Linked DNA regions of Danio rerio. The protein of the gene in region 3 purifies or fractionates together with the protein of the main gene of each other region. This does not show direct contact. Links are inferred from orthologs where the notes say so. Each region holds a gene or a part of one and is shown on either strand. Other genes may lie near its edges.

Region 1 (3,663 bases), on a different chromosome or scaffold from region 3:
AGTATCTCAAGGTTTTCAGGGTGATTTCAAATAAATTCGTTTGAACTTTTAAAGGAATTCTAGATAGAATATTTAAAAAATGTACTGTTACCAATACTGATGACTACAATGATTACTAGAGAAATACTAGACCACTACTAAATACTAGAGTAATGACTACTGAAACCTTTGAACACTTTTCGAAAAATTGAATAAATGTAATAGTTACTTTAAATGCAAGTCATTTTTGCACAATAATATTGCACTTTTGTTTACATAAATGGAACTTTGCTGAAAATAAATTTCATGTCATAACAAAATCTTTAAAAATATCCTACTGATCACCAACTTCTGAACGGCAGTGTTAATTCTGCACTTTTAATGGTTTGGATTAATTTGCATATATATATATGATGTGAAGTTGTATTAATGGCAGCATTTCATAACTATCTGTTGAAATTCTTGTATTTTCGAAATGTAGGTATATAGTGTGTGTGTGTGTACCTCTTTCTGCAGCCTCCGCAGCTCCTCACTCAGGTTGTTGTTGACCTTCATGAGCTGCTGAACTTTAGCCTCAGAGGAAGCCAGTGCTTTCTTCACCTCCAGATACTCCTGTAGTGTGATTGGTCCATCTGACAGATCTGACGAGTCCATACTCTGAGACACACAACATAAATCACCAATTACTTCTCAATATAATGCCATAGCACAATAAACGCCAGCAGAGGGAACACTAATAAAAAGCTATTTATATAGTTTTAGAAGATACGTGCAATTATTGAATTTAATTTAAGAAAAAAAAAGGATTTTTATTTAGTAAAGGATGCAAAACACTTACAATATTAAATACAACTAGAGCTTTACATTAACAACCGCCAACCAGCCAAATGCGGGTAGATTTCAGCTCTGGTGGGTGAGACAGCCGCTTCCACTAGCCACTTTGGCTGGTTGGAAATAATTTTTACATTGTAGTTTTCTTAAAGCAGGATTCGACAATAAGGATGGCCCAATATGCAAGCAAATGTGGTCTTAGAATCGAGAAACAGCACGACTGACAAAAATAACTGTGTTAGCGTGAGCAAAAGCAGGTGAATACCTTATGAGAGGATGATCACTCGCGTGCACAGGTGATGTGATGCGTGCGACTGTCAAAAAGCATGAGCGCTCCTGTTTACTTGCGCATAACAACCGTGTGTAGAGCAAACGCAACTTGTGCGATCGGTTCTATATCTTTTTGAAAGCAGCAGTAGCAGTCACTGCTTTCGTTTTAATTATTTTTAGGCACGTGATCATCCTTTCATTATCACACACGGTATGTTTTTAACTGCTTTTTTTTACTTGCAGTTATTTTTGTTAGTTTAATTATCATCCTTTACAATAACATTGCTTTAATATGAGATTAACTCCCCATTTATGTGCAGTAAACTGCTGATCTGGGACCTTTAGCCAGGACAGATTATTGTGCATATTTTAGATACATGACAATAGATCTTTTTAAATGTCAAGTTTAAAAAAAAACGAAAGTTTTGTTGAATAAAAAGTACATGTATCCAGCTGTATTTTGCTTGTTTTGACGCATTTAAAATGTGTGGCTAAGAAATAATTATTTCTTTTCAGTGTGGTCAGAGATCATTTTGGTAAATCCTTAATTTTGAGCCCTAAAAAATTCATGTGAAACAAAAACTAATTACAATGCAACACAACCCATTTGCTCATGCACAGTGAGCAAGCTCATACACAATACACTCAAACAGTAAAATGAATGAGGAGGCATGTGGACAACACAACATCTAAATTAAGTCATTTTAGCATGTCAAAGTCACATTTATTCATATAAAATATATTTTCCAAACAACAAAAGTATGCTAAGTAAAGTGGCTAATAATGTTGGAAAACTACTAGCCACAGTGGCTGGTGATCAAAAAAGTTAATGCCAAGGCCTGCATACAACTATTTTTTTAAGTAAATGATTCTCTCATTTTACTTTAATTTCTAAAAAAAAAATCCTGAAGACCAGCCAGAATGCCATAATGTCTGCTGAAAATTACACTTCACAAAGCGTGAATCATCTCAGACTGGTTTCTTGACAATGAGTTCACTGTACTCAAATGGCCTCCACAGTTATAAAGGTAATTCAGTAGCAATACTCGAGAGCTTGCAAATGTAAATGTGAGCACTTGTGATAAGAATATTTGTATGTGTAGGTTGAAATGTACACTTACAGCTCTGATGTGAACAGCTGAAATCCTCGATTTGCACACACACACAACAATCCACACACTTGTGTTTTGAATCGGAAGTTGCAGATTAATAGTTGTGTATTTGTAAAATGTCATTCACAAATACAAAGTGACAGACACACGTGTGCACGGCAAATTTGACTGCATCTTTGCTCTACAACCACAGGTCGGCACTCACAACCTCTCAGATTCGTCAGTACAACTACAAATCTCCCGCGCTCTGACTTTTGCTACACATCTCCCGCGATCTCTGTAGCAGAACTCATCTGTGCACTCGCAGATGCAGAGGCGTGAGCAGCGCGGAGCGGGGGAGGGGCGGGGCTGGTGTAAAGCTGTTTCATTGGCTGAAGCCTGACCAATGAACAATGCCAGCAGCCAACAGGACTGAGGTGCAAAATAATCATTTCCCACGATTATTTTATTATTTAGGGTTTATTTCAACTATTTTCTGAAAAGATTTTTGTTAAATATCATTAATTCTACTGTAATGTACATACCAGTAAAAGAGCAGCAAAGCCAGTTTATTGGCTACAGCCAGCCAATGAGATGGGGCGTTTCTGTTTGTCAGCACACAGGGCAGCTACGTTGTTGGAGGCCTCGAGCAATCAGAGGGTAAGTTATGATTTTTAATAATTATCTATATGTTCAATACTGTTAGCTAAGCTAAGGACTGTGCTGGGTGCTTCTCTTGTGTGTTTTTTAAATAAGAAACAGTTATGAGTTATCTAGGAGCTGCTTTCAATCATGTTATATGGTTCTAAAGATACGATTCAACCCACATGAAATAAGAAGTTGTAATAGTATTTATAGCAAATAATAGTACGTTTTTGAACCATACTAACTATAGTAAACTGTATTATACTGTATATATTGCAGTATCTACAACTTTGTTAATGAATGCAACAGCACACTGTAGTATTAACTAGCATAAACTTTAATAAATTGAAGTATATTTACACACACACACACATTAATAGCAATTAAAAATAACACTAGGCGTTTCAGTTTCTTACAGATCATACCGGTTTTGGTTATTATAACCTGCATCATGTCTATCTATCCATCTATCTATTTACATGTTTGTGTACAGTGTGTCCTTTATATCACTTTTTTAATTATGAACGTTACTAACTATAGGTTATTTCTCAGTTTCCTGTAAGGATGGAGTGACAGGAGAGATCAGCATGTTTCAAGTCGATGAGGAACTCAGAGAAGCTGCATAGCTTGAATAGGATGTTATTTATGCTAAAGATGACATGATGATTCAGCTCATCTACAAACACTTCAAAATGATTCAAATCGTTCAAGAGGAAGCCGACTTAATTTTCTCTTTTTACCTGCCAAGATGACTACAGATTTGAACAAAACACACACTCACCCACACACACAACTTTTATTTTGATAATTGTTTAATGTAGTATTTTTACACTTTACTGTAAGGCAG
Region 2 (3,663 bases), on a different chromosome or scaffold from region 3:
CATTGAACCTTAAGTAGTCCACTATTGTTTTTTCATTTTTGTTTTTAGCGCATTCATTTATATATATATATATATATATATATATATATATATATATATATATATATATATATAAACTGTTCTTATTTATTTATTTATAAGTAAAAAGTTTGAAAGTAGGAATATACAATATGAAGGTTTTTGACTTATAAATGAATAAAATTATTTTAAAAGAAATTTCACAAATTATTTTAAAGAAATTTAACCAGAAGAAAAAAACAACTGTGAACATTATTATTGATATCATGTAATAATTAATAATACTATTATTACAAAAATACACATTACAAAGTTACTATATTTATATGTGAAATTTGGAATAAATATTATCAGATCTTTATCAATAAAACAAATATTAACTTTTACTTAAATAACTAATAAAAACTGAGAATTTTCAAATGATCTCTTCATTTTTTTCCAAATCTAAATATTCATGTATTACAGTTAGAGAAGAAAAAAAAGTACATTAAAACAACTGCAAAGCCCAAAAACAGACAATGATTTGTCATTATCGCAATAACTAGCAGCCAAATGTGATAAATGTGCCCTTTTTAACATTTTTTAAAGATATTATAATATACTTTATTACTATTATTATCTTTATAACAAATTAATTAAAACAATATTATCATTTAAAAATGATTTATATTATTCATATAAATATTGATTTAAATATAATAAAAATAATATTATAATATAATAACTGTGGTTCTGTATGTCATTCATTATTTTACACATTTTGAGGGAAACTGTCTTTTTAATTTGTGTAATGTGACCACACAGGACTATTGGTTCTTCACCTTAGTTTAGGGTACTCCTCATTAAAGTCTCGGCTCTTTCTGGTGGTCCATTCCCGCACATGCAGCATCTTGACCACAATCTCTGTGCCCTGCCAGCGGCCCTTCCACAGCTGCCAGAGAGCGATTGAGAAAGAGAGAAAGCAGAGGCATCAGTGTTTCCGTCATCAGCACTCTCAGACTTGGCCAGGATACTTATTAAAGTTTGCTTTGGTTTGGTAAATGAGCTCACCTCGCCGGAGTGGTTCTCGTTGATCTTGTTCAGCATGTTAAGCTGCTTATAATCTATGCCAGCTTGCTTGTTTAGTGTGCCATTACCTGCAGGAAAAAAAATAATGTTAAAAAAACATAGCAACAAACCTTAGTTAATAAGATAAGGCAATATACAACTGAAGACTAAATTATTAATTCTGTGAATTTTTCATTATTTTTCATTTTAGTTTTTTTCTTTTGGGAAAAAAGTCTTTTATTTTTTTCATTTTTGGCTGAAATTCAAAAAATAATATTCACAAATATAAAAAACTTTATGGTAAATATTGTAAGCCCCAAAATAATTAGTATTTTTTGATAGGCTACAGAATAAAGTGCTGTTTTACAATAACTTGCCTAATTAAACTAACTTGCCTTAACCTATTTAACACAGTTAAGTATCTGGCGAAACACTAGTATATATACAGTAAATACAAGTAAAATATTATGTACAGTCAGCAAAGTTACTAGAAAATAGCCATTAAAACTGTAAAAATATATCTTAGACCCTGCTTGTTAAACATCAATTGGGAAAGATAATTTATTTAACAGGAGGGCAAGCATTTATTTTTGTCTTTAACTGTATATGTGGCCATTCAACAAAACTAGTGCAAGAAAATAAATAAATAAAATAATAATAATTCAAAAACACTTACACTACAGTAAACAAACTGTAGATATTTACGAATACACAATAATATTTCATTTAGCATTAAGTTCAATATAAAATTATTTTTAATTAAATAATAAGTTTTTATAATTATTGTGTAATATATTGTGTACATGTGTATATATATAAAATATAAATAATTTTTTAAAAATTATTATTGGAAATTGACATCCATACATATATCTATACATTTTTATAAGTATTATTATTTGCATTTGTTGTTTTATAAAAAAAGTCTTTACAACAAGGTTAATTTTTTTTCATTTTATTATTTTTTATTAATACGAATAGAGTAATATTTAATAAAATAAAGCATTAGTAGTGTAATTTAGCCCTGACAAATTAAATATTGTGGTCACTTTTAAAACACTGCCATCATTTTTGAACTTGAATGGGATGTTACAAATTTGAAAATAATTTTGTTTCACAAAAAAAAATATGTGTGTGTGTGTGTGTGTGTGTATATATACACACACACACACACACACACACACACAAACACACGCACGCACGCACGCACGCACATATATATATATATATATATATATATATATATATATATATATATATATATATATATATATATAAACTGTGAGTTATCAACTTAGATGTTATGATATTTGTTTGCTCAATGTAAGTTTAGACTAATGAATCCTTACCTTTGAAAGCAGAATGATACAGTAGATGATAATAAACTGCTTGCATCTGCATTAAAAATGTAAACGAAACTCAGAGGTTTTGCTTACGTGGTCGTGTTCGAGTTGTTCCTTTCCAGAAATTGTCCTTGTAAGGGACTTTTGACAGGCTCTGTCCTTGTTTCTCTGCCAGGTCTGATTCATAAACATAACAGTGATAGATATAAGAGACAATGGAAAATATGTTAACAGAAACAGATCTCTGAGACTTCACAAGGTTAAAATAAAAACATCATACAAAAGCACCGCTGATGTCAAATTACTGCATTATTAAATAAAGAGAGAGTGCTTACCTTTTAGATTTGCTGCAAGCGGTGGTTTGGCCTTGTCCATTGGAGTTTCTCCATACTTGTTGCAGATGCTCACCTGAGCTCCATTACTGACCAGATCCTGGAGACGTGACCAAACAGTACAACCAACCAATGAGTACCAATGTTCAAGCATTTCTTTGATGATTCTGCTAATGTTAACCTTTATGAACTATATGTCAAGATTTGACTTCTGAAAATGAAATGGAGCTGAAAATGTTGTTTTACAAAACAGTCATTATTACAAGGTTATTTTAGTCTAATAAATAATAATATCTAAAAATATTTTTTGTTAACTGAAAGTAATTAACAATGGAAAAACAAAAAATTCACATAAAAAAACAAGTGAAAAAAAAAAAACTCAGCAAAAATATTTATGTCCTTTAGAATTAATAAGCAGTCATTCTGTGGCAGAAAATCTGAGCTGCTGTAATATATAGAAGTACCTCAAGATGGGGCTTTTATAGTTGAACGCATCAGTCAAGCACATGATTATATATACCTTCTTAATTATAAAAATCTTCCATGTATTTTTAATCCTTGACAAATGTAAACTAGGCATGTTTAACTACATATATTATCTCTAAAATCAAGATTTATCGTTTTATCTGCATTTAAGGTTTACGGTTCGGTGTCTTTTCAAACAAATCTTTCATTTAATACCAAGAGGTAATTTTTTTTTAAACTCTGTTAAACTAAAATGATTAAAACTAAAACTGAAACTAAATATATAAAAACTAAATAAAAAGTGTGTTTAAAGATACAAACTAAACTAAAACGAACCAAAAAACAAACATTAATGAAACAAACTAAAACTAAACAGTAATAATTGAAATAAAAAACGAATTAATAAATCATAATTATAAGAACCTTGCATAATTGATTTTTTTAATGACATGAAGTTG
Region 3 (2,998 bases):
TAAATGGGCACAGTTTTTCGACTACTTTTTATTTTTTGCTGTGGATGTTATTGATCTGAAATCGGAAACAACACAGTTCTGCGACACAGATGAACCTTTATTGATATCTCTATCAGACAATACCTATTTTATATGCCAAAAGAAACAACAGGCAGTAAAAAAAATATCAACATAAATATCTTAGTGTAGGCATAGGCTATAGTCGCATGCTTTGGCAAACAGTTGAAAATTTTTTAATAAAAACATCATATCGTGCCTAAGCCTTGTAGGCTCAGTCACCCCCACAATTAGAAATTAAATTAGAAAAATAGATATGCCATCCCTCTTTGAGCGAACCTGACCAGGCTAAAGTGCATGTATGACAAGTGCTTCAATAACCATGGACTTAGGATCATCCCCATTCCCCTCAAACTTGAAGCATAACGAAATAGGCTACTACGCCATTAAATTTGCGACAAAGAAATTCTGGCAAAATAACCTTAGCCTCGGAACGTCAAAGCGAGGCCAACATGTCTAGAATAGAATAGGCTAAACCAATATGAACGTAAAATTATCAGCTGACCGAACTCAAAAGTTTATATTGAACATATGTGTAGCCTAAATAACATAGGCTAATTGGTTTAATATGCCTGACTTTAGGTCTAGTTTGATTTTTTCTTGGCACAATGCAGGAATAAAATAGCATCTGTGTCAGGATTCAGACGGGAGCGCCTGCATAGCCACTGCGCCCTGCTGCACTGAAGGAGCGCTCGCTCGCAGCACTTGTTGCTAAAATGCATAGAATTCTCTTGGAAAGGTGCTGTAGTCGGGGGAATGCCTGGCCTTATTTCTCCCAAAAGGAAAGTAGATTTTCCTCTGCTGATCCGTCTATACAGAAGTTTGTAGAGGAATACTTCTGTACACTTCATCCAGAATTAGTGTATCCGATTCCTCCTCCCATTCTGTGAAGTCAGTAGGCTTTTTCGTTGGTGCGCCAGCTATGAATATAAAAACAGTACAACCGCCCGCCACCCGCCCGAATTTAATTAAAATATTATTTTTTCGTAACGTCATCCGCCCGATCCGCGGTTTATCCGCGGAGTCCGCGGCTATAACCGCCAACCGCGCATCCCTAATGCGTACACTCACTGGCCACTTTATTAGGTACACTTACTAGTACTGGGTTGGACCCTTTTTTGCCTTTAGAACTGCCTTAATCCTTCGTGGCATAGGATTCAACAAGGTCTACCTGCCTAAATGCATTGAGTCGCTGCCATGTGATTGGCTGATTACAAATTTGCGCTAACAAGCAGTTAGGCAGGCGTACCTAATAAAGTGGCCGGTGAGTGAATCATTGTTGCATCTGCCCATGGGAAATTCCCACATACTCACCCTGCAGACAAAACACTCAGGATGCCAGAGAGAGTTGAGGGCAGAGATGTAGTTTTCCAGGATGGCACGAGCACAGCCGCCACATTTAGGGGCGAACATGTCAAAGTAATCCTTTCTACAGTACGCCTTTCCCTCCTTCTCATGAAAACCTGCCGGGAAAAAGAAGAACAAAGAGACAAATGGTTGCCAATGGCTGAAATCCTTTTAAAGGAATAAAGCAGAAAAAAAGGAAACAGCATCTGGAGAGAAGAGGCTGAGAAAGATGCTCTTACCCTCAGGCCCGAAGAATGACCCGCACTGGGCGCAGAAGAAATGCTCCGGGTGCCAAGTTTTGTCTAATGCGGTCACCACTTTCTGCAGGACCAAAGAAGAGAGGATGAAGAATTAAAATACGAGTAACATGAACAAAACACACAATTTAATATCAATAACAGAACACAAATTTAAGATAAAAACAAGATCGTAGTAATTATTGGAGTTAGTAGTAATTGAGTGATCGTTTACAGTAGTGATGTGTGCTGATGCATCAAAAAATGATGCATCTCGCAGTGAAGCAGTGTACCGGAGCTTGATTCATTTTGTCATAATCATGTGATCAGTGACGTCCGAAGCTTCATTTTCACCTATACACATGTGACTGCTACGAATTTTGACTCAAAGGCTTAAACACCCTCATGGGCTAGTAAAGTGTATAGCGAGAGATTAGGCATCGATTACATACATTTCTACTGTTACAAAGCACTGCACTGGTCCCACACACCAGTATTTCAGCAAAAATACTATAGTAATTTATAGTAAAAAGGTTTTGAAACATGCTAACGTGCATTATTTACAACTATTTTCAATGAAGGCTACTGCATATTGTAGTGTAGTGTGTAACAGACGCCAGCTGGTGAGTGCAGCAGAAAAGCCTCACTCTCATGGCGTCCTCAGAGCATTTGCCTCCCATGCAGTAATCGTCAGTTCGATCCCTGCTCGGAATGAGTGGGTTGGTGTAAAACCGGTTGAAATACAATGATTTTGAATCCTTTGGATTTTACTACAGTCATCGGTGGTGTAATTCAACATACCTTATATGTAAAATACTACAGTAATTGGGTGAATTGTTTATATTACTATTGTTGTATTACTGCATGATGAATGAGGTGCTTGGTGTGAACATTGCAACACAGTGCTTTGCCACACTTTAACCAGCAGAGGTCCTCATTAAACTCTGATTTGGAAAGCTTTGAGTAATGAATCTTTTTCCAATACAATTGAGTTGAACGGTTCACTGTTCAGAAAGCTTCATTTCACCATCACTACTGTATTTACAGTAAGGTTTTATCAGTTAAAGTGATGGTTAACCTAAAAAATGAATATTTAATCACTTTTAAAATCACCTATAAGTGGTGCCAAACAGGGCTGCCCGATATTGGAAAAATCGAACATTGCAATATATTTATTTTGCGATATATATATTGCGATGTGAATCTCAATGTCACCTGATGATTTAATATCTCTGTTTGGAAAGAATTTCTAATGTTAAATCAATTGGGATGACTCTGCAGTGGGAGTGCATCTCCATAAAATCTAATAAACAATCTATACGACATATTTTCATTGTTGTCTGTACTACTTGCAGTGT

Evidence for each region.
Region 1: the proteins of pxna (region 3) and git1 purify together in Homo sapiens (affinity purification with western blotting; 8 studies listed by BioGRID and IntAct, with this or other methods). This does not show direct contact. The link is inferred for Danio rerio from reciprocal best matches to the Homo sapiens genes PXN and GIT1.
Region 2: the proteins of pxna (region 3) and ilk purify together in Homo sapiens (affinity purification with mass spectrometry; 4 studies listed by BioGRID and IntAct, with this or other methods). This does not show direct contact. The link is inferred for Danio rerio from reciprocal best matches to the Homo sapiens genes PXN and ILK.

The regions. Positions count from the first base shown.
Region 1 is NC_133190.1:30,952,888-30,956,550, forward strand, and holds part of git1 (ARF GTPase-activating protein GIT1), read right to left. Parts: exon of another isoform or gene 3,561-3,663; intron 637-3,560; coding exon 484-636; exon of another isoform or gene 1-483. UniProt on the Homo sapiens protein: GTPase-activating protein for ADP ribosylation factor family members, including ARF1.
Region 2 is NC_133185.1:29,715,329-29,718,991, forward strand, and holds part of ilk (integrin-linked protein kinase), read right to left. Parts: intron 2,841-3,663; coding exon 2,744-2,840; intron 2,586-2,743; coding exon 2,502-2,585; intron 1,155-2,501; coding exon 1,069-1,154; intron 950-1,068; coding exon 840-949; intron 1-839. UniProt on the Homo sapiens protein: Scaffold protein which mediates protein-protein interactions during a range of cellular events including focal adhesion assembly, cell adhesion and cell migration.
Region 3 is NC_133180.1:7,407,318-7,410,315, reverse strand, and holds part of pxna (paxillin a), read right to left. Parts: intron 1,726-2,998; coding exon 1,644-1,725; intron 1,521-1,643; coding exon 1,372-1,520; intron 1-1,371. UniProt on the Homo sapiens protein: Cytoskeletal protein involved in actin-membrane attachment at sites of cell adhesion to the extracellular matrix (focal adhesion). Recruits other proteins such as TRIM15 to focal adhesion.